Caenorhabditis elegans: one gene and its partner. The protein of the gene in region 2 interacts with the protein of the main gene of each other region in a pairwise test. Each region holds a gene or a part of one and is shown on either strand. Other genes may lie near its edges. The genes, in order: lpd-6 and F53E10.6.

Region 1 (17,153 bases), on a different chromosome or scaffold from region 2:
AGGAGAAGACGCGGGTTACTGTACTTGCCCACCTAGAACTGCTTGATTCGAAAAGTGTAAATAAAGTATTTATTCTTCTTGGAAATGTTTGAAAATCAGCATTTGTGAAATCTGAAAATCCGATTTGCCAGAGCTAGAATAGTTAGAGTGGCGTCTATTCCCACTGTAATTACATGCTAGTAAAACGTTTATTCTTCTTTGAATCTAGAAAAACTTTTAAAAAGATGTTATCTAAACTGGCTGCAAAAGCTTCTGAGCGACTCCTTCAAGACCCTTGCTCTCCTCGGTTGCGGATACCTGAAATTTTGAAGTAAAGGGGTTCTGTAGATAGAATAAAACTACTGGAGAAGGAAGCTACGGACTACTGTACTCTAAAGGAGGAACTTTGAGTGGAGGGTGTACGATAGGACTACTGTAAGGGAGGTGTACTGTGGTACGAATACTGTAGTCTCAATCTAGGATATAGCTACTGTAGGAGGACGAGTGCAGGTTTCTGTGGACATACGGTTGTTTGTAAACTGTAGCGAGGACAAGGAATTATTCAGTGAAGGGAGCGGGTACTGAAGGACTACGGTAGGAAGGATATACTGTGGTTACAGAACTGTACCTGCAAATTAGGATAAAAATACCGTAGAAAAAACAATTCAGGTGGGTGACTGTGGTCATACGGGTGTTGGAGTACTGTAACAGATTGCAGGTATAATAAAAGTTCAGGGTGTAGTATAGGACTACTGTAAGGAATTGTATACTAGATGTACTGGCTAGGGATTTGAAATGGTAGGGTACTGTAAGACAGTCTAGGAGCTCAGGTTACTGTAGCCAGGCGTTTTTTACCATACTGAAGAGGTGAAGGTTATGGATACAAATATACAAACCAAAAAGTACAGTAACAGGTCTCAGCGTAAACCGTAGGAGTGTTGTAGGATGGACTTGGAAATAAATAGTGACTTCACCCTAGGGTTACTGTAGGAGGATTACTGTAGACGTAAGGCTCACCTGTCCCTCCAATCGATCAGAGTAATAGTTTTTGGTTGCGTAGTAGACTGAAAATCGCCAAAACAGAAAAGCTCCGATCGCGAAGACTAACAATTTCACAACTATCACCACCAATGCTTTTTCGAAGAACTCTTCATGATGTCCTTGAGAGTAGAAGTTCAGGAATGATTGGGTGTCGAAAAAGGCGATCAAGAGTTGAATAACGGTTAATAATCCCCAGATAAGAAATTGAGAGAGCTGAAATAGAATTTAGTATAAGTGTGTGCGCGTTTTTCGTTTGTGTAGTCTGATCTTTGGTATTTTGGCCAAATTTTCTGACTGTGAGAAAATTTTTCAGCAGGAAATTCGAATTCTAAGAAAAATTTCAATGAGAAATTCAAATTTTCTGAGAACAAATTTACAGGGAGAGTCAAATTTTTCGAGAAAATTTTAAGAGGAAAATTTAAAAAAAAAAGAAAAAAATTGTGAGCTTTCCAGCAAACTCACCGTAAACAACACCATTGGCCACATGAATCGATGCTTCTTTTTACGGAGAGCATATATTGTGACTAAAATGAGAACGAGATGGAAACCAATCCACATGAGCCACCATGGGAACAGGAAAAGCATGTAGATGGGGATTACAAGAAATATTTCCAGGAGAAGAAGCACTTTGGAAGCATTCTGGAAAAAATTGGGAGTCCCTCGACAGGAGGCGATGCACTGCTTTGCAAATCTGCAGCGCGCATTTTGGAGAAACGAACTAATTTTAAATTAAATACGCAAAGCACCCTATTTTACGCGCAAATTTGAAAAGTACGCAGAAATAGGAAAAATCGCGAATTTCAGGCATGGTGCAACAATGAAACTTGACTGATTTCACTTGCTTTTTGAAAAATCTACTAATTCGTGAAAACACGCAAGGGACCATTTTTTACGCGCAAATTTGAAAAAGTACACAAATTTCAGACATGGTGCATCAAAGCAATACACTTGATTCCACGCGCATTTCAAAATTTTGTGATAGGAAAATTTTACATAATAAAAATTATGCAATGCACCATATTTTACGCGCAAAAATTTCTGGAAAAAATAAAAACTCACCACAACATGGCACTTTCCAAAAACACATCGATATTTTGGATTCTCAGCTTGAAAATCGACATAAAAATTGAAAAGTTTCGTGAAATACTCTTTAATAGGAACTTTATCAAAGAAAAGAACCATCGTGAATCTGATTTTTTTTCTTTTTTTAGAGAATACCTTTCTTCATAACTTCAACGGCGTGAATTTCTAGAGAAAATCAGAGAGTGTGCGATTTGAAGAGTGTGCAGACAAGAGAGAGAGAGAGAATTCTATCAAATCATGTGTGTTGGGTGTGGTATTTAGTACAACAGAGAAACTGTTTTTTGATTCATTCTTTGTTAGGGGTTTGCAGATAGAAAGACGGTGTGGTTTTCTTGAAATGTAAAAAAACTAAAAAATTAAAATAAATGCTTGTGAAACAATTTTAATTTTTAAAAAATTCGTTAACTATTGATTTGTTTTTTGGTTAATTTTGTAACATTATTCCAATTTCAACCTAGATGACATCTGTTCACTCACGTGGTGCCAAGTTGTCTTCTTACGGTTTGATCTACAAAAAATGCGGGAATTTTTTGCACAAAAAAGTCACGTCAGCACATTCTTAAACATACGAAATCAGTTGAAAACTCTGCGTCTTTTCTCCCGCATTTTTTGTAGATCTACGTAAATCAAGCCGAAATCTCTGACACCACGTGTTCACTAATAAATTAAAATTTGCGCGTCAATTGTGATGCAAGGCATCCGTAAAGCCAAACTGTGCAAGCATCACAGTTTACGTGAGATTTGTTTCTTAAAGAAATAAATTTTATTATTCTTCAAAAAATCCCTTTTTCCCTAGATTTTATATAGTTATTACGGGAACACGAAACCCTGAGACTGCGTACTGCGCAAAATATCTCGTAGCGAAAACTACAGTAATTTTTTAAATGACTACTGTAGAGCTTGTGTCGATTTACGGGAACTCGATTTTCGTAATGACATTTCAATTTTTCTTCGTTCCCCGTATTATTTTTTTTCATTTTTTGTTAAATTTTAATATTCAATCGATAATCGATAAATAATTTATTTTAATCCGTTCCGAAAATCGAGCCCGTAAATCGACCTACAGTAGTCATTCAAAGAGTTACTGTAGTTTTCGCTATGAGATACTTTGCGCGTCAAATATGCTGTGCAATACGCATTCTCAGATTTTTTTTCCATAATATCTCAACTTTGCACATTTTTGCCTGACTTGACGCACAAATGCACGTGCCGAGACCCAACAAAAAACAAATATAAATAAAATAAATGTTCATTTATCGATTTTTCATACAGAAACAGGACATTCCATCATTCCAAGAATATATCCCATATGTTTATTCATCGAATCAACAGCTTCTTTTCCACACCTATCAGATGTCAAATGTTTTGTGCATTCGAGCTCATCCTGATACATTTGACAATTTCCCGGGCGCCCTTTCTGCAAAAAATTACAGGAATATTTCCTTTTTTGCGCGTAAAGTATGGTGCTTCTTTTATGCGCACACAATGCACCACATTTTAAGCGTAACTTTTCAAATTAATTAATTTAAATTTGCGCGTAAAATGGTGCAATGTACCATATCTGCACACTCACCTCCGTTTTCAAGAATCGCCCGCATGGATACTTTTTCAGCGATGGTGGAGTGCTGCGGAGCTGGAATAATGTATTTTTAATTTTTCTTTTTCTTGAAAAAAGTACCATACGTCATCAATACATTGTCCAAATGGACCAGACATCAATTTGATTCCGGTGCATGTTTTGGCGATCAGACCAGTTGCATTTTTGAGCAAATCGCATTTTACTTGCTCCATACAAGCCTGAAACAATGTAGAATAAAGCTCGAAATTTGCTGATTTTGAGGCTAAAACTAGTTGGAACATGTTAAACTAATACATTTGCGCGTCAAATGTGGTGCACAGCGTCGGTAAGGCGGAACGGTGCAAACACCAGAATTTACGCGCAAAACTAGTTTTTCTCAGTAAGGAATGGTTAACTATATCAAACTTTTGGTGAATTTTTATATTGGGAATACAAAATTCTGAAAATGCGTAGTACGTAACATATTTGACGCGCCAAATATCCCGTAGCGAAAACTACAGTAATCCTTTTTAAATGACTACTGTAGCGCTTGTGTCGATTTACGGTTTTTAATCCATTTCAAAAACTACGAATTCGGGAACAAAAATACGCAAAGCACCGTATTTTTCGCGCAAACTTGATAAAGTACGCAAAATTAGGAAAAAAACGCAGATTTCAGACGTGGTGCATCGAAGCAATACATTTGATTTCACGCGCATTTCAAAACATTTGTGATAAGAATATTTTACATAATGAAAAGTATGCAAAGCACCATATTTTACGCGCAAATTTGAAAAAGTATGCAAATTTCAGACATGGTGCATCGACGAAATACGCCTGATTTCACTTGCTTTTTGAAAAATCTACTAACAGCACCGTATTTCACGCGCAAATTTTGAGCAATTTATATTCGTCAAACTTGACGCGCAAGTTCGTTTTACACCCACAAGGGTCTGTTCACACAACAACGAGAACTCTTTGAGCTCGTCTGGCGGTGGTATATCCGCGTGTTTAGCCATTTCACCAGCCAACTGCCCCAGTAACGGTTTACATTCCATTGATTTGACAGCATCCTGATGATCACACGGAGTGGCACAATTTGCAGAAATTGCCACAAGGAGGAAGACGGTCAGAATCTTCATGTTGAATGGGGGAAAAATGGGGGGAGAAGTGTTTTTTATTCTCGTCGTGCATCAATTTGAATGACCTTGATCGGCAGGTCAGCAGCCGACATGGCGGCGTCGGGACTACTGATTTTTGAATTGGCGGGTAAACAGTCTCTGATAATGTCATGATAACAATAACGAACATTATTATGAAATTGAAGAACATAGAGGAACAGCAAATTGCAAAAACAACTGATATCCTGGATCTCTGCCACCGAGCCCAAGTACCACTTTAAAATTTGCGCGATTTTTTTTAAACAAAATTCCTTTTTCCCAAATTTTATATAGTTTTTAGCAACATATCTCGTAGCGAAAACTACAGTAATTCTTTAAATAACTACTGTAGCTCTTGTGTCGATTTACGGGCTCGAGAGTGAATTTTACACATTTTCCCCAAAATTTAAGGGGCCTGAAATTGTGAAATTTATTGATTTTCCAATGAAATAAAGCTTGAAAATCGCCGATTTTGAGTTTTAAACCAGTTGGCTGCTGTTCCCTTGACAAATTTGCGCGTCAAATGTGATGCAAAGAGTACGTGACGCCGAACTCTGCAAGCATCACATTTTACGCACAAATCTCGAGTTTATGTGACATTTTCCTTTTCCACACACATTTTCCGGGCCAGAAAGTCAACAATTTGCTATTACAGGAATACAAAATTCTGAGAATGCGTACTGCACAACATATTCGACGCACAAAATATCTCGTAGCGAAGACTACAGTAATTCTTTAAATGGATACAGTAGCGCTTGTGCCGATTTACGGACCCGATTTTCGAAACGGATTAAATTGATTTATTTATCGATAGAATATTAAAACTAAGCAAATGATACGAGAAAATTCGAAAAGAAATTCATTCCCGTAAATTGACACAAGCACTACTGTAGCCATTTAAAAAATTACTGTAGTTTTCGCTGCGAGATATTTTGAGCGTCGGATATGTTGTGCAGTACGCATTCTCAGAATTTTGTGTTCCCGTGATACATACAGGCCTGAAATTGTGAAATTTATTGATTTTTCAATGAAATAAAGCAGGAAACTAGCTAATTTAAAGTTTTAAAGCAATTAGCTCCTTTGATGTGACAAGTTTGCGTCCGTGAGCCCAATCTGTGAAAGCATCACAAATTACGCGCAAACATGATTTTTCTCGGTAAAATTGTTAAGTCCCACATTTTTTCAGCGACATTCCTGATTCTAAATTAGCGGGTAAACAGGAAAACAGTCTGATAAATTCATGATTATAACGATAACAATAACGAACATTTAAAAAAATAAAAATGGAGAATGGAGAAACAACAAATTGCAAAAAACAACAACTGATATCAGAATTAACGACGACCTCCTCGGAAACCGCCGCCTCGATCTCCACCTCGCCCACCACGGAATCCACCACCTCCGCCGCGTCCTCTGAATCCTCCTCGATCGCCTCCACGGAAACCACCGCCACCACGTCCTCCGAATCCACCTCTAAATCCTCCATCACGATCTCCCGATCTTCCACGGAAGCCTCCACGATCTCCACCACGATCTGATGAACGTCCTCTGAAGCCTCCTCGGTCGCCACCACCTCCACGGAAGCCACCACGATCCACGGATCTTCCTCTAAAGCCACCTCCATCACGATCGCGACCTCTGAAGCCTCCACGATCTCCGCCACGTCCGCGGAAGCCTCCACGATCTTCTCCTCTTCCTCTGAATCCACCTCGGAATCCCCCACGACTATCCTCATATCTTGGACGCTTCGAGGCTTCAGATGTACCCCATTCCTCGTTGGCACGCTTCAGATCTCTGCAAAAATATAAAAAATCAATTAAAAAGTCTTCAATTACGGGGATCTATACCTTTCCCGATTCATCGCAATCTCTCTATCCTTCTCCTTCTGATTCTCAACTTCTTCAACTTGTCCAGTAGCGGCAGCTTGCTTACGAGCAGCATTCTCTCGAATCGCCTTCACCTCTGCCTCCTCAGCATCCTGTTGCTCCTTGACAATCGTAAGTCTTCGAATGACACGTTGCTCACTTTCCTGCTCACGACGCTTCTTCATCTGCTTCTTCTTGTCCATATGAGCTCTCAGTTTTATCAGTTCATCTGGAGTCTTCGCATTATGCTTGTGATAGAGCACCTCTCCCTCATCGATTCCTTCTTCAATTTTGACGAGTTCCAGAGTCAGTCGGGGTCCGATCTCGTGAAGACGGACGTTGCTCTTCTGGCCAACTCCGCAGCCACGTCCTTCTGAAATGTCCTGTGGTAGTTCGACTTCTTGCTGATCTCCTTCGAATTCGGAATCGCTGAGCTGTCCGGGGCTGGAAAAAGAAGGGAAATTTAAATAAATTGAATATTTTTTAATAATAATTTTGTGATTTATCTGAAAATATCGTTTATTTCAATTGGAAAAATTCGAAAACAGTCCTCGAAAATCGTCTAAAAATTGTTTTTTCCCGGAAATTTCCAATTTTCAGACCATTTTAGAGGTTTTTTTTCAATTTTTCGATCTGAAATAAACGCGCGATGCCTCCCAAAATTAATCATTTTATGAAAAATTTGAATTTTTTTAATGGAAATTTATTAATAACATTAGAAAAATTCAATTTCGTTCGAATTCTGAACTGTCCGGGGCTGGAAAAGGATGATTTTTGAAGAATTATTGAATTTTCAGAGAGAAAAAATTCAAATTCTTCAGAAAAACCATAAATTTTGAGAGGCATCACGTTTATTTCAGTTGGAAAAATTGAAAAAAAAAATGCTCAAAAATCGTCTGAGTATAGTTTTTTCCCGAAAATTTTCCAGTTTTCTGACCAGTTTTGAGGGGTTTTCCTATTTTTAAAACTGATATGAACGTTTTTTTCAGATAAATCACTGAATTTCAGGCTCAGTTTGTAGAATTTCTGAACAATTCTCACTTCAAAAAGTAGTCACTGATGTCTTTGTAGGTACTCAAATTCGGAATATTCTTTCCCATCGTCTTTTCCGCTTGCATAAGCTTTTTCACAGACTTGTTGAGGCCTGAGGCGACGACTCGAATTGCGCTGAAAAAAAAATTTATATAATTATATTTTAGAGAAATTCATAGCACTTACAAATGCCTCATTTGAATTTCGTCAGTTTCTTCGTCATAACTGACGATCAGGCAGCGTTTCAGGTTTCCAAGTTGAATCTGAAATTTTTTGTATAATTTTTCTGAAACTTGACAAAAAAATCGATTTAAAGGTGGACTACGATCAGGGGGAAAATTGCTTTAAAACACGCCTATGGGGCCACAATGACCGAATATCATGATAAAAAATTTCAAAAAATTTTTCTAGATTTTATAAGATTTTTTGAAAATTGGAAAAATCACAGTTTTCACCTAATTATTTTTGAATTTTCGCCAATTGAATTTGTTCGGTGGAGCGCGCTTGCATTATTTTTTAAAATTAATTTTATTTATTCTCGTTATTTGACTGATTTTCTTCATTTTCTATGTTTTTTCTCGGAAAATGGAAGAAATAAACAAGACAAATGCAAAATGTTTGTTAAAAACTAATTGAAAATGAGTAAAACTGAAATATACTAATTTCAGGCTTGTTGTCGTCGGAACTCATAATTTTACAGTTTTATGCTTTTTCAGTTACTTTTAAACAAACATTTTGCATTTTTCTTGTTTATTTCTTCCATTTTCCGAGGAAAAAACATAGAAAATGAAGAAAATCAGTCAAATAACGAGAATAAATAAAACTAATTAAAAAAAAATAATGCAAGCGCGCTCCACCGAACAAATTCAATTGGCGGAAATTCAAAAATAATTAGGTGAAAACTGTGATTTTTCCAATTTTCAAAAAATCATATAAACTCTAGAACATTTTTTTGAATTTTTTATAATGATATTCGGTCATTGTGACCACATAGGCGTGTTTTAAAGCAATTTTCCCCCTGATCGTAGTCCATCTTTAAAAATTTTACCGTATCGACATTAATGGAAGGGAACATATTCTGAATAAAAGTCTGAACCAATGAGAGATGCTTCTGCGTTCCGTCGCCAAATCCGTTCATCACAACGAGCGGCGAGGATTTGAACAGTTTATCAGTGGCAACTGGTCGCTTTTGACAATTAACAACGTGGCGAGCCAGGGAGTATTGTTTAACTGGAAATTAAAATAATTAAATTACTGAATTTTATTTAAAATCGATAATTGGCAACCTTTAAACGATAACGTCGGTCCTTGGGAGAAACGCATCATTCTCAGCTGCAAGGAAGCATCACTGGAAGTGAGAACCATCATATTGGTGACTCCAAGTACCGCACCGTTCACGATAAAATCCTTGATATTGTTTCTTTTGAGAATTTTCAAGTTTTTCGCTGTATTCGGCTCGACGAGATTTCTCAAATCCGACTCCAGGCCCTTCACGTACTTTCCGACGTCTCCGCGATGAATAACCAAGCAATGAGGCTGTCTTGCTAGTTCAATTTCTTTATTTTCCAAAAACTTTTGCTTCTGTAGCTTCTTCACGAATTTTTCCTGATGATAAAGGGCATCTTTTTGACTTAGAGCATCTACATTTCCGCGATTATGAGCTCCAGACTTTCTCTGCTTCTTTCCTTTCTTCATTTTCATTTTTTCGAACTGAAATTTATAAAGATTATTGTTAAATTAAGTGTATTTAGGTTAGAAAATGGAACGAAAAAAATTGCGAAAAAAAAAAAATACGAAGTGTGCAGTTTGCCGTCAAAGTGTTTGCGTCCAATGCGCCATAGCTGACGACAAGTTTTTTACCGCGATTTCCGCCAATTTCAAATTAAACTTTAAATCGATTTTCTCAGTTTCTGTACAGATCTGTTTCCAGATAATGAATCGCTTCGTCACAAGATCCAAGCCTACTCAACCTACTAAACGTGTTGCTCCAGCTCCGGCAAGTGGAAATGAGGAAAATATCGTTGCGCCTGAACCTCAAAAAACGCTCGAGGAGCCCTCTGTAATGGAAAAGCTGCAGCACGCAATACGAGAGAAGGATGCTCAATTCACATTTGATATTTTATCGAAAAATAGGCCATTTGATCAGGCGATGAATGTAAGCTTTCTTGGAGCATTAGTTTTTTTTTGGGGAAAAAAATGAAAATTTTCAGAAGACCATGACAAAAATGGAATTTTCGCCGGATTACTCCGATCCTTCCTCAGAATTTATGCTTCTCTCAGTGGATGAATCAGTCATCGGAGCCTTTAGTGAAGGTCAAAGCCTCACAATTCGCGGAGATTCAACTGACGACGCGGTTCTGTGCACAGACAACGCCACATTTCCCATGAAAATTATCGAATCCGCCACAACGGTTCTTCTTCTTCATAAATGCCTGGAAGCTCCAGATTCACCGACGCTTCCGAATTTTCAGGTGAAAACTGTCAGTTGTTTTTATTTTTATTTATTTTAGTTTATTCGAAATTCAAAATTTTTTAAAAATTTAATTAAATTCAGATCGGTGGAAAATGCTTCTCAACAGGCGAGCTGTGTCCCCAAGTGGATGTTTTGAGCATCGGACGGCTTAAGGATATGCTCCGCGAGCAGGAGCTACGTTGGGACTGGAAGGATCGTGAGGAAGAGGAGAATCTAAAGGGTTATAAGCTTCGAGACCTGCTGAATAGTGTTCAAATGAGTGTTGAAGAAGTGAAAATTGCACTCAATGATTTGCCGGTTGTAAAGTTTTCAAGCGGAAGATATCGATATTTATCTCATAAATATCGTGGAGAAATGCTCGGATTAATTGTGGAGCTTCTCGATGAAGATTCAATCGGTGATGTGAAGCTGGAGAAGGTAGAATAATCGCCATATCTTACGCGCAAGATATCCCGCCGGGAAGAGACGAAATTACTGTATCCGTGTCGATTTACGAGCCGCGCTTGCATCATTATTCGAAATTAATCTTTTTTTTTGAATTTCGACCAGCAATTTTTCATTTTCAGATGTTTTTCGTATTTTTATTTTTAGATTTTTTCAGTATTTTCCGGAAAAAAAACTGAATTTTTCAATTTTCCGTTGTTTTTTCCCAACAAAAATCGTAAAAACCGAGAATTTCAGTTTTTCCGAGGTTTTGCTGTTAAAAAAATAGAATAAAAGACCCAGAAACTCCAGAAATTTCAGATTTTTTTCGGTATTTTCCGGAAAAAAAACTGAATTTTTCAATTTTTCTGTTGTTTTTTTCAAACAGAAATCGAAAAAAAATCCGGAAAAACACGAAAATTCAGTTTTTCGGAGTTTTTTCTCTGTGTTTCCAAAAAAAAAAAAACATTAAAAACCCCAAAAAAAAACACGAAAATTTCAGTTTTTCAGAGTTTTTTCAAAAAAAAATTTAAAAAATTTAATAAAGACTCACATTTCTGAGAAAAATTGAATTTCAAAATTTCTCAAAAATAAATTATTTATTGAAGAATCCATTAAAAATACGCAAAACGACTGAAAATGAAAATTGCTGGTCGAAGTTAAAAAAAAATTAAATTCGAATAATGATTCGCGGCCCGTAAATCGACAAGAATACAGTAATTTCGTCTCTTCCCCGCGGGATATCTTGCGCGTAAGATATGGCGATTTTTCTAGATTTTTCTACGTAATAACTTAAAAATCTGAAATTCTTCGATTTTCAGATTTCCCGAGCCTCTCTGCGCTCCAATCTTCCAGAAAACGTCCCCGACGAGGTAATTGACTGGTTCCTCAACTCCCGATGCGAACAGAATCCTGAGGATCCTTTCACCTACCGCCTGCCTGAGATCAACCTGATCCGCGACCTAACCGTCGTCATTCTCTATGGAACCCAAAAAATGCCTCTCCAACAGTTTCGTGAACTCCTGCACAAGATTCTACCATATGGAGTCACTATGAACATTGCCCAGCTGGAAGGTGTCGCCGATATTTCTGATGCTCCATTCGGAAAAGTGATCTCATACCTATCACCGGAAGATCTTCCTGATACTATTAAAGAAAGAATGTTATATCTTTTTGAATATCGAAAACTCTGGTCTATGGAGCAACTTCGTCCATATTTCAAGGATGTTTACAAATCGAAAGTTGCTTTTGATAAGTATGTTGTTCAGAATTGTGATTATGCGCTTTCTGAATCAAATGAGATGCTCTATTGTGGCGTGCGATAATTTTTCTTTCATATTTTGTAAATAAATGCTTTCAAGTACCTGATACCAAGTTTATTCAACTATTTTTCAGGCCACAAGAACTTTTAAGATTATTCTCAAAGAGCTGAAAGTGAACATTCAAGATGGAAAAAGAAGATAAGAATCTCATAGTGACAGAGATAAGTGCGTGACGAGGGAAAGAGAAAAATGATGGGAGAGGGACGATGAAAATAAAAAAGAAAAATTGTGCATATTGGACAAGAATGCAGCTGGTTGGGGAGAAATTGGCAAATAGAAATTGAAGAGTATTTGTGGAAACGGCTTAGACCGGCCTAGAAAATGTTAAAAACAATAAACAATGAATGTTACTTGGCTCAAAAAATGAGGGAAAAAATATCAGTTGGAGGAAAAAATGATAGAGATTTGGGCATAGGTGGGGGAGATAATTATCATAAGAGAGCAACCACAAGTTTTTGACACCAAACTTCTGCGTTTCAGTCTCGCTTTCTCGCGACAGATCGCATGAGAAGCTGATCGATCCTGGAAATGGTTTTGTTAGAATGGTGAGAAGGAGAAACTGAATAATACCTTTTTTCGGCTTCTCCATCCCACTCGTCGAAGAGCTTGACGTTTCTTCGTCTGCGGTGAATCAGGAGATGATGGAGGCCTGCTTCTTCTGTTTCGAATCTTCCACTGCACGTGGAACAGGAGTATCTCGTCTTCTCGACGTGTTGTTTCATATGTTTGTACCTGAAAAATCAATAATTGCTCGTTATGTTTTGGATGCAAACGTCTTACAGATTTGGAATTGTCACATTATCGGAGCACTTGCAGCATCTCACAGAGAACGCAGAGAAAATACCAGAAATTGTTGCAGAATTATCTGAAATTCAACTAACATATATACACCTTAATATATCAATTAATAAAGGTATAGGATGTAACTGCCACTCACGCACACTGATCGATCTTATAAGGGTTTATTAAGTAAAAGGGAACAGACGAATTGCATCGTCGATACACAGTAAACGAGAGAAAAGGGAAAACGACAAGTAACGGGTTAAAGAGTTAAGAAATGATCACAAATGAGCGTCGTCCTCTCCTTATATAGGCATTCTGGGGTTAAAGGCGCAGCATTTAACGACGACGGGTCTCGGCGTGACAATGCGACCTTCTGTAGCTTGGCGGCGGTTTGAACTGGAGTTTCTCCTCCTCGTGGATTGCCTTCGCTGTAGAAATCGTTGTCCTCGACCGATTTCGTCCGTTCTTTCTGTAAATTATCAGAGAGAATTTACAGGCAAATAAATTAGTATTTATTTATGTAAAATGTGAAGTGAAAAGGGTGGGAATCCTTACAAATTTCAACTGAACTCTCTGTTGCAACACATTTTGGGATTGGTAGCTTTGCATTGTGCAGAACGAGTGCTCGAATCACTGATTCATGAATTCCATTCTCAGCGAGAATTTTCAAATTGGTGAAGAACGCCTCTGAAAAATTTTTATATAAAAAACGCTTACTGCAGAAGTTAGGATTCACACAGAATTCGTTCAAAAGTTGAATATTACATTCAGAATTCCATTTTCAATTTAAGTAGAAGCTGCAGCTGTCTCGAAATTACTTACTTTTGGAGCCGATGAAGTCGATCCATGCATTAAATTTTGCGACGAAAGTTCCAGAATCTGCAGTCGAATTCATTGGGAATCGCTGGTTTCCTGAAACAAGATAAATATATTTTATGAGTTTCTAAATTTTTGCAAAATTTAATTTATTTAGGAAGAGAAAAAAGTTCAGAAAAACACCAATCTGTTCAAAACTAAAATCTGAGTTGATGAGTTGTGGAAATTTTTGCAGTTCTACAGTACCCCCATTTATCGCTTCGAGACCCGCCTCTCATTTTCCGTGCGCCTTTAATTTTTTCTTCGAGGCACCACGGTTATAAGATCTGATCGCTTTCCGGATCTACGATTTCCGGATCTACCGTTTCCAGATCAACGTTTTCTTTTCTTTTTTTTTGCACCGTTTGCGAAAACTGCGGTTGACATGGTGTCAGATTTAGAAAACAAAGATCTGCAGTCTCCTCGGCGTAATTCGAAATGTTTACGGAGCATTTATCTTCCGAATTGGCTGAGCCTTTGTCTCCAAATTTCAGAAATTGTGAGACACGTGGGAAAGAGCTCCGCCCTCAACGCGCGGTAAACATTGTCAGCCGCGGAACTCGCGAGATGTCGGGCAATGATATCACCTACCCTCGCGAACACCGTCTTCATCTGAAAGAATTTTTGAATTCAAGAGTATTTGCCGCACAATTTCTGCAATTCGGAAAAATCTTCAAAAAATACACTAGCAAACGCGAAATGCGACAGTAAGCTGCGTATACTGCGCTTTCGATGCCGAGGAGACTGTGAGATCTGGAAATCGTAGATCCGGAAAGCGACCAAATCTTGAAAGCGTGGTGCCTCTTATTTTCGCGAAAAATTTAGAATTTTGGCGTTTTCCGTTGATTTTCTACGTAGTTTACTGTCTTTAGTCAATAAATGTTTGTATTTTTACATGGAAAGAAATAATTTTCTATTTTTTGTAGAGATTGGCCTCTCGGAGGATAGAAGTTTGGCATCATGTGATAAAGTGATAAAAACGTGCTAAACGCAAATATTAGAGCTGCAAATTATCAGAAAATGGAAGAAATTCGAAAAATAATTTATTCTCCAATGTAGAGCTAATTTTTGAGAATTTTAATATTAAATTGTCGATTTTTCAGTGAATTCCATCTTCGAAGAGATCTCTTCTAACTCTCAACCTTCACATCATCACACGAACGATTCAATCACTCTTCCATACGATGCAACAATCCAAAAAATCGCTGAAAAAGAGAAAAACCTCAGCAAATTGCTAAAAGAACTTTCAATTGTCGATTCTTCGCTGGAAGAGGAGAAAGCAAGCTTCGAGAAGACTCAATCTGCATTACTCAAGGAGAAGGGAAAAATTGAAAAGGATAAGCTCATGTTGAGAGAAGAAGCTCAGAAACAGGCCAGCATGAATGCGGAGGTATAAGCGATGAAATTCCAAAAACACGGTCAGAGTCTATAGTCTTACCGCTACCAAAATCAGGAAAGCCAAAAGCTGCTCTTGGTTTTTTATATATCGGTAATATGCCAAACATATGTCGCTTAAATGAAAGATACATTTTTACTAGGACTCGAAAACGAACCAAGATTTGGCGGCGCCAGATTAAGTGTTGAAACAATGCCGGATATTATGTAATATTTTAGTTTTTAAGTTCTAAAAAAAACGTAAAGCTAATGACATTGATATATAAAACTTTTATAAGATCTAGACTTGAATATGGCACAGTAATCAGTGTTGCCCAGGTGCAAGGTGAAAGGTTCATAGACTATAGACTATGTAAAATCTATTTAACTATTTGCTTCTGAGAAATTCCGAGATTTACCAGCTAACAACCCGATCTTTTGACTTTTTACTGAAAAACCACTAATTTTGAATTTTTACGAATTGAAAAATTCATATACATACTATATAGGCATCTTCAAATGATGATTTTGGTCTTGTTAAAACGCTACGAGTTTGATCAATCAGTTTATGAACTTCTATTCGATTTCTTTGCTATCCACCGTTTAAAGCTTTTTTTTGTTGTTTCCAGTACAATCTCGAAAAACTCACTCATGCTCATGAGCAACGCAAAGACAGTTCAACACGTTTTTATTCACTTTTTTAAAACATTAGAGAGGCCGTGGTCTCCGTTTTCTTTTGCGGGACCTCAAGACATATCGCTGCAAGAACCTGGCGCGAAATTCAAATTTTATATCATCAAAAAGTTTCGCGCGCGAAATTCTAAGTTTCTCAAAAAAGTTTGCATTGGCCCGTTGCTCATGTCAATAACTATTGAGATCCACGTTCCTATCCAAACCCCAAAAATGTTGAACGTTTTTATTAACAAAAATGTAAAATAGATTCGATATCTCTCTAATAACTTGAAATTATTTCCAGATGACTACAATTGTTGATAGTGTTTTTAACAATGAAGCGATCGTGTCCAGAGTGTTGGAAAAAACTTCAAAAAATTCTATTAGCAATTTGGATTTGAGGGTACGTTTATTTTCTCCCGAAATGTTTTTTTCAAACATAATTACATCATTTTTTGAAATGTTCGAGCATAGGAATAAATAATAATAATTTCGGGATTTTTTTAATCGAGTTTTCCTGAACTTCCTATTTTTTAAACTAAAAATGTAATAGTAGTGGATGCGGGATAATCACAGAAACTCGAACATTTTCAAAAAAATATTTTTAACTGACAAAATGTTGCCGATCAATTTTTCCACATTCCTGAGCAAAACAAACTTGTATAACTCTGTTCCGAAATAAGTTACAACAGCTGACATCTTGCGGGTTTGTTTTTAAGTGTAAAACATGGACCAAAGCACCCATTACATGTGATTTATTGGTATTTGATCTGAGAGAGGTGCTTTGCACTGATCGGGAGGGCAGTAGCAGTACGAATATGCTAGCACATTCATTACCAAGGGAGTTTCTTGATTTGATCCTCGTGGCATGGAAAGTGAAAAATGTGCGACTGGAATTCAACCAAGCATGTTTAGAATTAGATTGTCTTGGTTTTGGTGCAATCTCACCAATAGCTAGATTTGACGTTCTTCCTTCAACTCAACCGCAGTCAATGTATATATTGGAAGAGGTACAAATAAACGTTCAATTCGCGAAAACTCTTATAGATGAATTGGACAAAGATGAATCACTTTTTGATAACTTTATCGCTAACTCCCAGAGAATTTTTCCAACTAAAAGAGTAACTGTTGAATTTCCAATGAAATATATTCAACTCTCCATTGGAAATTTGGAAAAGCTTATCAAAAAGTGTATGAAAATGGTTTCAAAAGAACCTCAAAGAAACACAACAACGATATTCCGGATGCACCTTCAAGATGCTAACTTCTCTCAATCTGTTAACCGTGTCTTCAACATTATTCTCTGTGACGAAATTCCCGAGATATTTCATTCCTCTGAAAATTGCAAAAGCGATGATACATCCGATTGTTGGCATCTTGAAACTATTCAACCAATTCCTGAGCAGAAAGCAAATCAATTTTATGGGGACGACACGATCTTAACAGGAAAATGTTTTTGTTTGAAAAACCTGCGGCTAAATAGTTGTATCAACTATCAGCTTTTATTCGAAAAGCAATTTTTGATACAGTTCT
Region 2 (14,582 bases):
TAACAAAAAGAGCCCAAACTACCGAATTTCGTAATAAGACTTTTAAAAAAGTTTTCAACAAAAAATTTCTGGAAAAAGCTCTTTTTTAGCTGAACATATTACAGGATGATCGTTGAATGCTTGTCGTGTAATTTCAACTGTGCAAAGAAGCAAATCTACTACCACATGCGAATAGTACACGACTGGAGTGCCAAATTCAACAAATAACTCGACTTCCTACTGAAGCCACAATCAACGAAAGTCAAGGGATCAAGCTCAATGTGGAGCATCATGGAATGGACATTTCTGAAATGGGAACGTCTTCATTTACATTCCCAGGATTTTATCGAGCGAAAAATATGAGATCCCCGGAATGTTTGGATTTACTCGATTCGATGAACCACTTCATATTGCATTGTCACTGGGAGCATGCAGATCTAAACCGAACTTCCTTGACTGAAAGGAAGCGTTTGGGATCCAAGTACGAATACGAGGTATTTCATTCAAATATCCATTCATTGAAATAAAATCTAATTTCAGAATTGGTTCGAGGAGAAGAGGGAAAATTCCGGAACTAAATTCATCAAGCGCTCCTCATCCAGCAAAGAAATTCACTACAACTGTGCGCTGGTCACAAATGGAGATAACCGTCAGTTCAAGAAATCAAAGAAGCTCGACCAATATTGTGCATCGGGAAAGGTAAAAATTCATGAAATTTTAATTTTATATAATACAACGTTCGGTTTTTCTCGTTCCTAAACAATTTCAAGGAAAAAACAATTAGCTACGCAAAAAACAAACGGTTATGTAATTTCACTTTTGCAGGTACAATTCCACGACAGTGGATCAGTGGACGTGCTCGGATGCTGCTCACATGCCGGACATGACACTTAGTCTCCGTATATCCATCTAATTTATCTGTACAATATTGCTTTCTAATTCAAAAGGTTCTTTTTTAAACCTGTGCTTCCCATTTTCCCCATTCCCCATTTTCCCCAATGTTTTCTTATAATTTTACTTGTATTCATAATATTTTTTACCATATACTATCTTAAATTTTAAATAAAATATTATTTTCAGATCTTTTTTCGGTCCAATAGCAAAAAAGAAATTTGGTTCTACTATACTATCGGTTGATGTTGAACGAAGTCTTCATGTTCAGTGTGCTTGTCTTATTGTACACGGAATTCTGGCTTCCCTCTTATAAATTGAAATGGAAGAGTTTGCCGAACTAGGCCATTTTGGGTAGGAGAGATTATGTGTAGATTTACAGCGCGTCGCGGCTCGTTTTTAGTTGTAAAACTGATGTATTTGTCCGTGTGGAGTACACGAAACTTTTCCACGCGTTGTCCGGCAGGCGATTGTCAATGGCGCGCGAAAATTCAGTGAGGAAGGCCAGAACCCCGTGATTGTATGTTGCGACTCGGATCCCCTTCGGGAACCCTCCCTGCAAATTGTCGAATTCGGAGATATCGCCTTGACTACAATTTACTCCTCTCCTCCGCTATAATGTACTCCTTTTCGTCCAAAAGCGGCCAAAATTTTATTTCCAGACAATCAAAAAAGAGCAAGAATCGCGAGCAAACGACACGCTTTTCCCGCTGCTCGTCACCATTATCATCATGAACTGATAACGTACGTGGGGCGGTATTCATTTTCAAAAAGAAAAAGGAAAGTTGCAGTATAAAAGAGAAATCGAATTTTCTGAAAAATCGTTAGTTTCTTGAAAATGTCTCGTTTTCTCAGCTTCTGCCTACTCGCCGCCCTCGTCTCAGCTACTTCCGCTCAGTTCACCGATCAGTGCACTACGCAAGATTATGCAGCTATTACACAATGCTATGTGACATATATGGCCGGTTACAACATCAGTATGACAACTACTGTTCCTGAATATTGGTCCTTCCACTTTGCCAGAAGAGACCTTTTGGATGCCGATGGCCTTCATATTCAGCCTTATGTGTGCCAGTGAGTTTTTATTAATTTTGAATTTCTTGGTCTCGCCACGAAAAATTTGAGTTAACTGCAAAAAGGTGTGCTCCTTTAAATGGTGCTGTAATTTGAAACTTTTGGTGGTGCGAGATTTTTTTCGATATTTTTTCGGCAAATTTTTTTTGTCGACAAATTTGGCAAATCGGCAGTTTGCCGGATTGCTGAATTGCCGGTAATTTTCAATTCCGGCAATTTGCCGATTTGCAGTTTGCCGGATATCAATTTGCCGGAAGTGATTGGAGGGATTTTTTCAATAAGACGGAAACACTTGAAACTGTTCCTTTTTTAACCTTTTTTGCCCATTACCTAATTATCATGGCAGAAGGAATCAGGTGTCAAAATTTTAGGCCACAAAATTTTAACCCAAATTTTATTTCCAAATAAAAATTTTAGTTTGAAATTTTAGGCCAAATTTTTAGTCCAAAACTTGGGCCGAAATTTCAGGCCATATATTTAATCCAATTTTGAGACAATTTATGTCAAGTTTTAGGCCTGATTTTACGGCCTAAAGTTTTGATCAAAATTTTGGGCCACATTTTTAGGCAAAAATTTGCCGTTTTTCCGGCTAATTTGACAAATCGGCAATTCGCCGGTTTGCCGATTTGCCGGAAAAATCGTTTGCCGCCCACCTCTAAACTACAGTACTCTTTAAAGGCGCACACCTTTTAGCAATTAACAAAAATTGTCGTGTCAAGACCATGGCGCAAAATTTCACAACTTGACTGTTTAAAAATGTCATAAATCGACAAAAAAACAGTCTGTCCTAGTTTTCTATTTTCGTTCTTATCTTCTCTTCCACGACAAAAAATAAGGACAATTTTCAACCCATTAGTCCATTATTTCCTAGCCACAGGTGTAATTGCGCTCCAATGCCAATTAAAAAAGATCCGCCCCTAAAGGTTAGGTCTCGTTAGGAAATTCAAACATTTTCAATTATTTTTGCCGGTTTCGAAATACACTGTCTTAATTTTCAAACCGTGGCCGAGCTTTCCCACTCTGCGGCCACCGAACTTTTGTGCGCTACGTTGCAGCTTTTTTTCCAGATTTTAAAATAAAATTCGAAAATTTCCAGACTCGGGAACGCGTTGAGCAACTGTTTGGCTCCGTACTCCTGCATGGGACCAAACGCCTACATGCAAATGAACGCCGCCAACACCACCGAGGCCACCGACTACTGGATCGACTTGGCCGTGACAGAGTACCAGTGTGGAGTCGGATATAATTGTAATGATTTTTGGAGAAACATTTTCTCTGAAATTTTTTTCAGTGACCATGACCGAGTTCTACTGTATGGCTTTCTGCCGTGATCGTTATCAGCCGAATATCGATCAATGTGATGCTCAGGCGGCAATCGACATGAAGAATGGAATGGATCCTTGCGCGTGAGTGGGAAAACAGAGCTATTTAAAAAAAAACTTTCCGTCTGAGAAAAAAGCAAAAAAATTATCTTTTTTGTAAAAATGAAATTTTTTTCGAAACCCGGTAAAATTTAAATTTTTAAAAGTTTTTTTTTCAGTTAGCTAAATCGTTTAGCAACTTTTTCCCCCTTTTTTCGAAAAAAAGTGAAAAATATTGTAATTTCGCAAGATTCCACACTGCCTCCTTAAAGGAGCACGTATTAATTTAGATGGGTCTCGACACGCAAAAGTTTATAGTAGTTTTTCTCTGATATTTCTCTGTTTAAATTGATTAAAATCAGTTTTCCATACAATTTCATATAAAACAAGTTCCCCGCAAAAATTCAAAAACAACTTGATATTTTTTTGAAGGAATGTCGAAATCTTGTCAAATTATAATATTGTCGTTTTTTTTTTGAGAAAGCGAGAACTTTCGTTTTTCTGTGTTTTTTCTCCAAAAAAACTAAAAAAACGAAAACAGTTTCGTTTTTCCGTGTATTTTTTGCCAAAAATACGAAATATGTTCGCGAAAAATCTACAAAAAATAAGGCCGATTTCGAATTTTTGCAATTTTTTCCTAAAATTCGCACCAAAATTTCCAGTGCCCAACAAAAGGACTTCAACTGTCAGGCGGCCGTCTACCGCAACTGCTGTGACTGGAACGCCGGTGTCTACATTTGTAACGTGGATGTCGCCGGGTCGAAGGCAGTGAATCCAGCGTGTGTGAATGCTGGATTGGTGACCTGCCCAGCGCCAAGATAATTTTTTGAATTTTTTTTTTGTTGCAAAAATGAATAAAATAAATGAAATTTAATGAATAAAACAACAACAACAAAAAACAAAAAATTAATCCTCGTCGCTATAATTTCCAGTATCGATTAGTTCCTCTCCAATATCCATCTGATCAACGTCATCATCCTCTCCCTTCACTTCTTTCTTGGCTCAAACACTGCCTGGTGGTGATCCCACCGAGTCACGTTCTAGCCGGAGACTGTGGCCGATAAGCCAGTCGTGGATTGCTTTATCTCCCAATAGAGACCTATAGGCTGAGGCCGGACTTGAACTCGTGACCTCCAGATTGCTCGCGGCCACCACTACCGACTGATTGTGAGCTATTTGCCCCCATATGGTAATTATTTCGACAACTGTATATATTCTTACGCTCTTGTGTGAACTAATGTTTTTCCTATGTGATCTTATGATAAGGTTTCATTTATACTTTATTCTCACGATAGAGATTATTTTAAATAAACAAATAGCAATAATAATGATATATGCATAATATATACATATGTACATATGCGTGGTATTGAATTTTGAAAAACCATTTGGAAAGTGCTCATCTTGTAAAAAATTCAGTTATGGTGGTTCGAACTGTGTGTAGGAAAGGTTTTAAGCGTGTTCCTCCGAATTATCATGATGATAAATGAGTTGTTGCATCCCATACTACAACAGAACACTTATGTGCTAAAGAATACATTTATTATATTAATTAAAACCCCAACAGAGTGGGTGACAGAAGAAAGAATAACAGGAGGGACAGGTAGAAGGGGGATACAGGAAAGTAAAAGAAGATCTCGAGTGATAGAAATGCCGCCTTATATACCCCTCTGCGGTGGGAAGGCGGAGTCGCCGACGCCGCCACAGAAAGATCCAGAAGACGTAAACAAGTGTGTGACCCGCGGCGCGCGCGCACACACACACACAGGGCTACTGTAGTGGGGAGACTTGTGGGCATGAAATAAATGGAGAGGAGCGGAATAACTCGATTATTGCGGAATTGACGCTGCGATAGCGTTCTGCTCTTGTGCACGGTTGGATCCGAAGATGTGCCGACGGGCTGGTAACAAGGAACAAGTAGGATCCAATGCGTGACTGACATCTGACCGATCTTCCTGCAAATCAAAAGAGTTTATTCCTGTCTACACTACTCCTATTCTATCACTGGGGGGTTTGGGTAAGGGCGAGAGATGTAAGGAAGGTTAGAACCTTACAGTGTGCAATGGTCTCTCATAGAAATAATTAGCTGGAATGCCATTTTCCAATACGAACTGAGCGACATTCTTTGCAATCTGCTCCAATGTTTCCGATATTGCTTGAAACTTTTCGATTTCGACTTCTCCTAGTCTTATCTTGTATGCTAATGTCTTCGACTCAGCACTTTGCTTCGCGCGAGTTTTTCTTGATCCCTTTGTTCCTTTTATCGTCATTTTTCCTTTTTCATCATTTGGTGCTTTATTATTTTTCAAATCATTCAATAGTTTCTCAGCGGTTGTAGACATCTGAAATAGAAACGAATATATAACCAAATAAAAAAAACATAGAAACTAGTTTCTATCAAAAAAAATCTTACTTTTTGTAGATGTTCAATATTCTCCTTGTTTTCCTCCGTGATTTCATTTATTCGCCTAGCTTTTTCTTGTTGGAGTGTTCCAATAAAGTCCTCAAAACTCCCGTATAAATAACTCGTATTATAACTTTGAGATATAATGCGGTAAACATCCGAAACTTGATTTTCTATTTCTCGTGTTCGACGTTTGACTTCATCAAGTCGTGATTGAAGCCTTGGAAGTTCATAACGCGATTTCTCAAGTGCCGTTTTCTTCTTTAATTCGTAATTGGCAGTGTTCCTTTGGTTTTGTTTTTTAATTCGATCCTTCTTTTCTTGTTCGGTCTGATGTTTGAATTTTTGGCAATACCAAAAAAATTCCAGATTGAAATACTTACCAACATCAGCAATTCGGTTTTCTTAATTCTGTGTCTCGGTTCTGAAAACTTTTGAGCAACATTCTTCTTTATTCTGCCAATATTCGGAATGTTGTTCTTCGTAGTTCTTCTGTACACAGGGTTCGGAGAGTGGGTTGGCAGATTTGAAATTTTAAAGGTGGAGTAGCGCCAGTGGGGAAATTGTTAAAAACCACTCCGTTGGTTCCAAAATAACTGAATACAGTAACAAAACTTTTCAAAAAAATGTTGGAATTTTTTTTATTTACTGTCAAAAAGTGGCAATTACTCAGTTTTTGCCACTGGAAGTCGACCAAAAAAAAAATTTCTACATTTTTTATGTTTTAATTTAGTTCAAATTATTTACATTGTAGGGGTCGAAACATGCGGCATTTCTTTAAACTTCCTCAAGAGCTCGTATTTTTCAAAATTGTGGCAATTTGCCAAAAACTTTGACCGGAAATTATAAAAAAAACTAAAATTTTTGGAGTATTTTATTATGATATTCGGTTGTTTTGGGTCGTTATATGTAAGTGCATTTAGACAAAATCCCCACTGGCGCTACTCCACCTTTAAGTTAATTATGTTTTTTTTTTACTTTTCACAGAATGAGTTCAACTCTAATAATTTTTATTTTTGTTTTTTGTGCCTGTATATACCTGTGAAAATTGGAATTCGACACAAAAACCTCTTTAGCGCGGCTTAAATTTACTTTCCTGGCTCACAAACGTACCAATAATATTTTTAAAAAATCTAGAATCCAAATCTATCAAAACATTTCCGGAATTCCATAATTTTTATTTTTGTTTTTTTGTGCCTGTGAAAATTGGAATTCGACTCACTGAAAGGTTGGTTAGCTTGACAATGAATCATTACTTGATGTTCCTGAAAAACCGGCAGCGTCATTTCAAAATGTCCAATTTGGCTATTGTGGGCGTGATACAAAGGAACGGAAATCGGCGCAATTTCAGCTTGATTAAATTGAGGTGTAGATTGTCTTGCATTTCCATCTGAAATAGAAGAAAAAATGACGCATAAACTCGCGAAGGCGCCTGACCGGCGCCCATATGGAATCCCCAGTAAAACCATCGTCACCAAAGTTAAAAACTTTAAACATTTGTTTTAAACTTCATTTACTTGTGGCCACTACTGTATATTATGTTTTTTTCAATTCATGACAATTGACTTACCATCATTATAGTGCCCATTTCCTGTTGAATTTGGTTCGCGACTTGATGGAAAATAGTCTGAATCAGCTCTTTTTTTATTTTAAATCGGAGGTTCCCCTCAACAAACCTGCAATGTCAGGTAGGCGGTGCTGAGACAGATGAGTTTGTTCCCTATATTCCGCTAAAAATAAATCATCCAATTGTTCATTCCAATTCCCTCGGGATGTTTCTGGCTCTAAATGAAGACTACACTTTCAAAAGTGGCAATAGTTTCAGGTAACTCACGTTGATACATTGGATCCGGGTGGTTTTCATTTACAGTATATGAAGGCGGACGTGGATCTAGAAAAATTCAAAATGGAACAAGATCGAAGCGGCCTAAAGTTTTTACAAATCTAAATAAAGAATGACCTACCGATTTCAGTTGGTTGCCTGATTTCCGGGTTGTCATTGTTATCAACATTGTGATCGTGAGGATCCTCAAAATATATACAATTGAATTGTTATTCGTTGTAGTTGTAGGAAAATATTATCAATTTTCTCAATGTTAGTTATTTTGAAGTATTCAAAAACCACAATACCTTCATTTCGTAGTTCAACGTCTCGTCAGCATCGCGTTCGTTGTTTGTCTTAACTACCGCAATATGTTGATACCATTCATTGATCTAAAACATTATATTGTTTCCTGTCTTATTCAGGAATGGAAAATGATACCAACCCAATTGGTCTTAATCTCTAAGTCTTCCAATTCTTCAGTCAAAAATTCGACATTAGAGTTGTTGTCCATATTGAAGTGCACTGGAATATAATTGTTCTTGATTTTATCCATATGTACAGGGTGGGCCAAACGTATGGTAACACGTTTGCAGCTCTATAACTTTACTAGTGGAGAGAGTTATTACATCAATTTGTACAAGTTTTGTTCTCTATAAAATACTGACCAGATGAACGTTTTGAATTTTCAAAATATTCCCATCCGCATCGCTGCAGGCCTTCAGAACTTTTGAGATCACGACCTTTATGGCACGCAAGTCGGCATTCTGCGGGATTTCTACATTTTTCTCGAGGAATCCATCAAGTGTCTTACAAGTTTTTATAGTTCAAAGAATGCGCTTGGTCTAGAGATTCTTTAAAAACAAAAATCCAAATAATTTCTATCACGGTATTTCTGTCATGGACTGCGGCAGTAGGTTAAGTCTTGAATGGCGTAGTCGCCAGAAAGATGGATGTGAGCGGCGAGTAGCAGTATGCAGAAAAATTCATTTTAGTATTTTTCGAGACGTTTTGACCTGACTTTCCAGAATTTTAAAAAAAATTGAGCTCGGATGATTTTGTGGGTCGTTACGCCTTGCGAAACCAAAAAAACTGAGTAAATTTCGCAAAGTTGAATTCATGAAATATTCAAAGGTTCTTGCTAGGCGCCAGTGTCGACACAGAAAATTTTTATATGCTACAAAAACAATTAAAAACGCTTCTTCACTTCTTTAACTTTAAATTTAACATAAAAATCATACATCTGAAAATTATTGGCGTGCGTAGGAGGTGTATTTGTGTGGGAAGTGCCGCGTGCCAAATTACCGTTTTTTCGAAAGGGTTCGCCAAATTGTCGAGGTGATAAAGATCGCACCTTATTGGGAAACATTACAAATTTTGAGTCAAATTGAAGGAAATTTATTCAGCTATCAGTATTCGATAAAAGAATGTACGTATGACGTGGCAGTCGCGCAAAAAGCTCATGTAAAAGAGCGCTTCATGTGTTACCATACTTTTGGCCCACCCTGTATGTATTTTACGTACAGTGTCGGCCGAAAGTATATGCGTTTTCAGTCTTCCTTGTATAACTTGCCTCATTTTGCTTCTTTTTATCTCAAAGACAACATCAAATAGCACAAAATACAGTCACTTTTATGAGTGGTTTTCATAAATATCGGAATATAACATTTTTCAAGCACTTTTTTCAAAAATCAAAAAAAAAGAAGAAAAATTCATCGATTATTTTAATTTTTTGAAGTTTGAAATAAGTATCATTAATTTTTATTTTTCGCTATTTATGAAAACTACTCATAAAATAACTGTATTTCCGCGGCAAGTCTAATATAGGAAATACGGTAACTGTATTTTGTGCTATTTGATGTTGTCTCAAATTTCATACAAAAATAAACAAAATGAGGAAGGCTATCCTAGGAAGACTGAACACACATATATTTTTGGTCGACACTGTTTCCATTTTTGGAAATTTAATTAAAATGTTTCAAAATCTGTCTTGTTTCAAGGAGCAGTTTGCTCAAAGTGAACAGATGTTTTGTAATGCCACACACATATCAGATGAAATCCGAGTAATCAGAAATTCAGAGGATCTTTTTTGCAACAAATGTGAAAATACTAGGAATGGGCTTAAAAATTTTTTATATTCTAAATTAAAAATTCTAAAAATTATGAAAAAAACGAGCCAAAAAATCGCATACACTTATTTTTTATATTGCAAAGGCTGCTTAGGTTTAAATGTCGAAATTATTACTTTATCGACTGCGTCTCCACAGCGCATTTTTTCTACATTGCCGCCAACTTTTTCAAGATTGTGCATGCAAAAGTGCGTCGCGGTGTTTGCGTCACAGACTTCAAATTAATGCGCGCGAAAGGCTCGAAAAGCAAACGCGCTCTGTTGAACATCTTCTGCGCGCGCATTCAAATTTAGTTTTTTCTTTCTTCCAAATATTTTTATACGGAAAGTGATAGTTTCACACTGTATTTGCTAATTTTTAAAGACAATTTTTAACAAACAATTTTTTTTTAATTTTTAAAAAATAAAATCTCAAAAAAGTTCCGGTTTTTTTCAAATTCTAAAAACACTGATAAGACTCCAAAACATCATAAGGGTCCCCCCTTATGAACTGAATCTTCAGCTCCAAAGGATCACAAGGATCCTCCTTTATGATCTGAATCTTCAGCTCTAAAATTTCCTCTCTTATGTTTGAAAAAAATTGAAAAAAAAATTGTTTTGGAATTTTTTCAAAAAGTGTTTAACTTTATAGAAAACACAATTTTGGTAGTTCTTACAAGTTTGGGCATTCATATTGCATTTTTAGCTAAACAATTAACCAAATTAGAGTTGACTGAGCATATAGACGTCTTACTTTCTAAGACTTATAACTCTGTTGGTGTTTGAATTAATAAAATGTAGACAGTTGAAAAGTTGTTGGCAACAATATGAAAAACATTTTGTTAGTGGGTACTTTCTAGTTATCTTTAGTGGCTGCGGAGATGTGAGCTCCAAGACAACCAAAATATGCTAGATCTGTGCTCAACAATATCTCAGTTCTGGACAAAGATGAAAAGATGCCTACAACTATGAAAACGTTTATTGCTTCGAACTTAACATGGTTGTAGTTGAAGGCTTTTTGATACCTCGCCTCTAGAACAGGGGTGTGCGGATAATAGCCGAATTAGCCGAATTAGCCGATCGGCTGATTCGGCTAACTCGGTTAATATTAGCCGAATTATCCGTTAGCCGAATTTTGTACCAATTAGTCGAGTTAGCCGTCATAAACTTTTTAGCGCGTCGAGACCCAATCGAATAAATATGTATGCCTTTAAGGAGACACGTCGAAATCCTGTGAAATTATAATTTTTTTTTTCGACAAAAATGGAGTGAAAAAAGCGAATATGTTAGTTTTTCTGTCTATTTTTCTAGAAAAAAAATCAAAACTTTCGCTCTTCTGTGTATTTTTCGCCAAAAATACGAAAAGCCTACAAAAAATAAGGCCGATTTCGAATTCCTGCAAATTTCTTTCCTAAAATTCGCACCAAAATTTCCAGTGCCCAACAAAAGGACTTCAACTGCCAGGCGGCCGTCTACCGCAACTGCTGTGACTGGAACGCCGGTGTCTACATTTGTAACGTGGATGTCGCCGGATCGAAGGCAGTGAATCCAGCCTGCGTGAATGCTGGATTGGTGACCTGCCCGGCGCCAAGATAATTTTTTTTTGTTGCAAAAATGAATAAAATGGATAAAATGAAGGGTTTTTAATGAATAAAACAACAACAGAACAGAACAAAACAAAAAAAAAGAAAATTTGATAACAAAAAAATTTAAAAAAAGTTAATCCTCATCGCTATAATTCCCGGTATCGATTTGTTCCTCTCCAATATCCATCTGATCCTCTCCGTCGTCATCCTCTCCCTTCACTTCTTTCTTCGCCCCAACATATCCCGAATCCGCGAATCTGTCCGAATCAAAGTTCTTGCCGTCGAATCGTTGACGAGCTTCTCGTCTCTCGCGAGCCGTCATCTTCTCCTTCACCGCGTCGGACATTGTCTTCTGACGATCGGAGACGGCGTTGAAGAGCTGGACGACTCCTCTGCAAAAATGGGAAAATTGACTTTTGACCGCGAAAAAATATCAATTTCCTACTTTGTAGCGACTCTTCTCAAATTTCGTTCCTTCTCCCGGTCGGTGGTGATATCCGGCTTGACCAGAGCCAACTTAATCCGGTATTCCTTGACACTCTTCTTCAGACTTTGCTCCTTCTTTGTCAGCTTCTTGATCACCTTCTTCTTTCTCTGAAAATCGCAATTTTTAATTTAATTTGACGAAAAACCGGGGGTTTTTTTTTCGTTTTCTCACCCTCTCAATGGCTGGGAAGGCAACTGTCTCGTCGGCGTCGCCGGCTCCACCATCTACAGAGGAAGGGCCTTCTTCTCCGCTTTCTCCGCCTGAAATTATTGATTTTTCTTTCAAATTGCTCAGATTAACGTTTTTTTTATTTATTTTTAAACTCAAAATACACGAATTCAGTTCAAAAATAAGTGTTTAAAGCGAGGAAAAATCGATAAAATACCTGATGACATCTCTTCCCTCTCATTATCGTCGTCCGAGTCTTCTGTGACGACTAATCGATCGCGGTTTTTTGTCGACATGGTCTAAAAAATTCGAGGAATTTAAAAATATAAAAATTCTAAGGAAATTCATGAGAAAATAGCCTGAAAAATCGCGGAAATTGATTAAAAACCTTCGAAAAATGAATTTGACCGAGAAAATTGTCCGCTTCGGCCCCCGCACTTCCTCGTCCACGGCCATGCGAAATGCGCGGGCATTCAAATTGGGAAAATCGAACGGAGCTCAAAAAGCACATAAAAACATCAGCTAAAACACGGGAATGGATGTTAAATTGCTTTTTGAACGTTTATTTAAAAAGTTAAACGTCTATACTCCGCCCACTCGAAGAGCAAAATGAGAAAATGCTCGTTTGACAAGTTGGGAGGGGGTGAAGTGCTGCCTTTTTCAATTTTTTTTTGCTTTTTTCTTCATTTTTCTTGACTTGAAGATTTTTTTTTACATCTTTTACATCGTATTCTTGTTCAAAAGAGCAAAGAATTTCCTTTTGAATTTCCATCCAAACCACCCACAACATTTGATTTTGTCATTTGATATTACTTGCCGCTAGTGTTTCCGGTTTCGGAAAAAAAGGAAGGAAATCGAAAATAAATATTTTGCAATAAATATTTTTCATTTTCTATCATATTTTCGTGGTTTCATTGTTATATTAACCCTCCTTCCCAAGTTTGAACTGGTTTTCTCAATGGGGCGCGTTTGCAACCTGGAATTTTTAAAAAATGTGTTTTTTCGTCAATTTTTGGTGCCCCCGGAACTTGGTGCAACGGGGTAAGACAAAAAAAGCTAAAGGAAGAAGAACAAAAAACAAGCATTGTTCTCAAAAGTCACTTATCGCTTCGTTAACCCTGTTTAGGGATGTCGCGGTCGCCCCGTCGTTTTATTTTTTTTTGCTGCTTCGTTCCATAAACTTTTATTTCTTCTTCTTTTTTTTTGGATATGTTTTGAGGTGATTGAGACCGAAAAAAACATGAGAAAACGATTAAATCGCAATGGATGGGTCTCGCCGCGCTTTTCGAAAAATAAAGAAATAGTCGTATGTTCCTTTAAGTTGACCGTAGTAATATTGCTAAAAAAGTTTAAAACTTGTTTAAAACACAAAATTAAACAATGTTAAGCATAAATCATAAAAAAGAAATAGAAAAATAACCTATAACTAAAAGTTTCTCGTCTACAGTAACCCGAATTTAAAGGCGCATACACTAATTTTTTCGGAAAATAAATGTTTTTTCGTCTAAAACGCTTGTTTTTAAACAGTTTTCGAATAAAAAAGAAGGCCTATTTGAACGCTAAAAATGTTTTTTTAAGTCCGAAAAATGGTCAAATATCACACGGGTTCTGGCCCTCCTCATTGAATTTTTCGCGCTCCATTGACAATCGCCCGCCGGACAACGCGTGGGAAACTCGTGTACTCCACACGGACAAATACATTTAGTTTTACAACTAAAACCGAACCGCGACGCGACACGCAACGCGTCGTAAATCTTCCCCAGATATGGCCGAGACAAAATGGCCTAGTTCGAAAAACTCTTCCATTTCAATTTATGAGGGAAGCCTGACATCCGTGATATCAAGTGGGCTAGCGGGAAAAAAATTGCTGGCCGAGTTTTTTTTCTAGGCCACGTTGTAAAATTTCCAATTCTTGGCATCAGGCCCCGCTTTTTGAAAACAAAACTTCTTATTTTCAGAGCCTCCGCTAATTCGACCAATAAAAATGACACATTTGAAAAAGTTTCAGCGCTCTATTCTTTTTGCAGCCTTTTCAGACACCCGCTTCTAGATTTTTCTACTGGGGATTTTGTCGAAATGTTTACTCATGTCGGTTTAACCACAAAATGTTTTGTTTTTCTTTGTTCGGGGTAAATTTTGAAAAAATTGAATTCTGAAGAAAAAAAACGATCCGGAAACTGAAAATTCCAGTGAAACTGGAAAATTCGATTTTCCAAGTTTCAGATTCTTAAATTCTTTTTTTTTTTCAAATTTGTTTTTGATGCACCATATGAGCTCTTTTGGCATTTCCCACGTGACCGAGAAAAATAAAAAATTCGGCCACCCTCATAGAACACAATTTTCCGTAAAATATTAGAATTAGAGATTTTTGTAGGTTTTTTTTTGGAAATCGCTGAAAAAATGGGGTGGGAAATTCAAATTTTCTGAGAAAACAGTTTTGCCACAAAATTCAAATTTTTGAAAAAAATGTTGACGAGAATTTTAAATTTTCTGGTAAACTTTTTTGGCGTAAAATTCAAATTTTCTGAGGAAACCTTTTGGGCGAGAGTTTCAATTTTATAGAGAAATAATCTGTGGCGGGAAGAAAATTTTGACATTCTCGTTAGCTTAATTAAAAATGGATTTAATTTGTGACCACCAATTTTTATCTAACTTACATTAAGTTATATAACTTAAGTTTACAATGGCCTAGTTATCTCTCTT

The links.
Region 1: the proteins of F53E10.6 (region 2) and lpd-6 interact in a two-hybrid assay, tested with the Caenorhabditis elegans proteins (one large-scale study listed by BioGRID).

Annotation. Positions count from the first base shown.
Region 1 is NC_003279.8:3,138,366-3,155,518, forward strand, and holds lpd-6 (Brix domain-containing protein), read right to left. Parts: upstream 9,429-17,153; 5' UTR 9,420-9,428; coding exon 9,005-9,419; intron 8,949-9,004; coding exon 8,767-8,948; intron 7,982-8,766; coding exon 7,905-7,981; intron 7,854-7,904; coding exon 7,728-7,853; intron 7,131-7,727; coding exon 6,669-7,130; intron 6,616-6,668; coding exon 6,156-6,615; 3' UTR 6,046-6,155; downstream 1-6,045. Other genes in the region: col-49 (Cuticle collagen 49), read left to right, coding at 1-46; K09H9.8 (uncharacterized protein), read right to left, coding at 232-297, 997-1,233, 1,483-1,659, 2,080-2,202; K09H9.5 (T20D4.11-like domain-containing protein), read right to left, coding at 3,368-3,520, 3,677-3,736, 3,787-3,900, 4,609-4,803; dscc-1 (Sister chromatid cohesion protein DCC1), read left to right, coding at 9,652-9,873, 9,929-10,198, 10,273-10,608, 11,436-11,939; K09H9.7 (C2H2-type domain-containing protein), read right to left, coding at 12,413-12,458, 12,507-12,668, 12,717-12,801, 13,275-13,406, 13,542-13,614; K09H9.1 (uncharacterized protein), read left to right, coding at 14,920-14,964, 15,925-16,104.
Region 2 is NC_003283.11:2,590,886-2,605,467, forward strand, and holds F53E10.6 (RRP15-like protein), read right to left. Parts: upstream 12,179-14,582; 5' UTR 12,176-12,178; coding exon 12,097-12,175; intron 11,972-12,096; coding exon 11,883-11,971; intron 11,819-11,882; coding exon 11,670-11,818; intron 11,617-11,669; coding exon 11,358-11,616; 3' UTR 11,268-11,357; downstream 1-11,267. Other genes in the region: irg-3 (Infection Response Gene), read left to right, coding at 1,709-1,944, 3,041-3,192, 3,236-3,350, 3,968-4,127; F53E10.5 (BZIP domain-containing protein), read right to left, coding at 5,135-5,260, 5,360-5,647, 5,719-6,039, 6,093-6,133, 6,932-7,099, 7,280-7,336, 7,386-7,493, 7,544-7,600 and 3 more.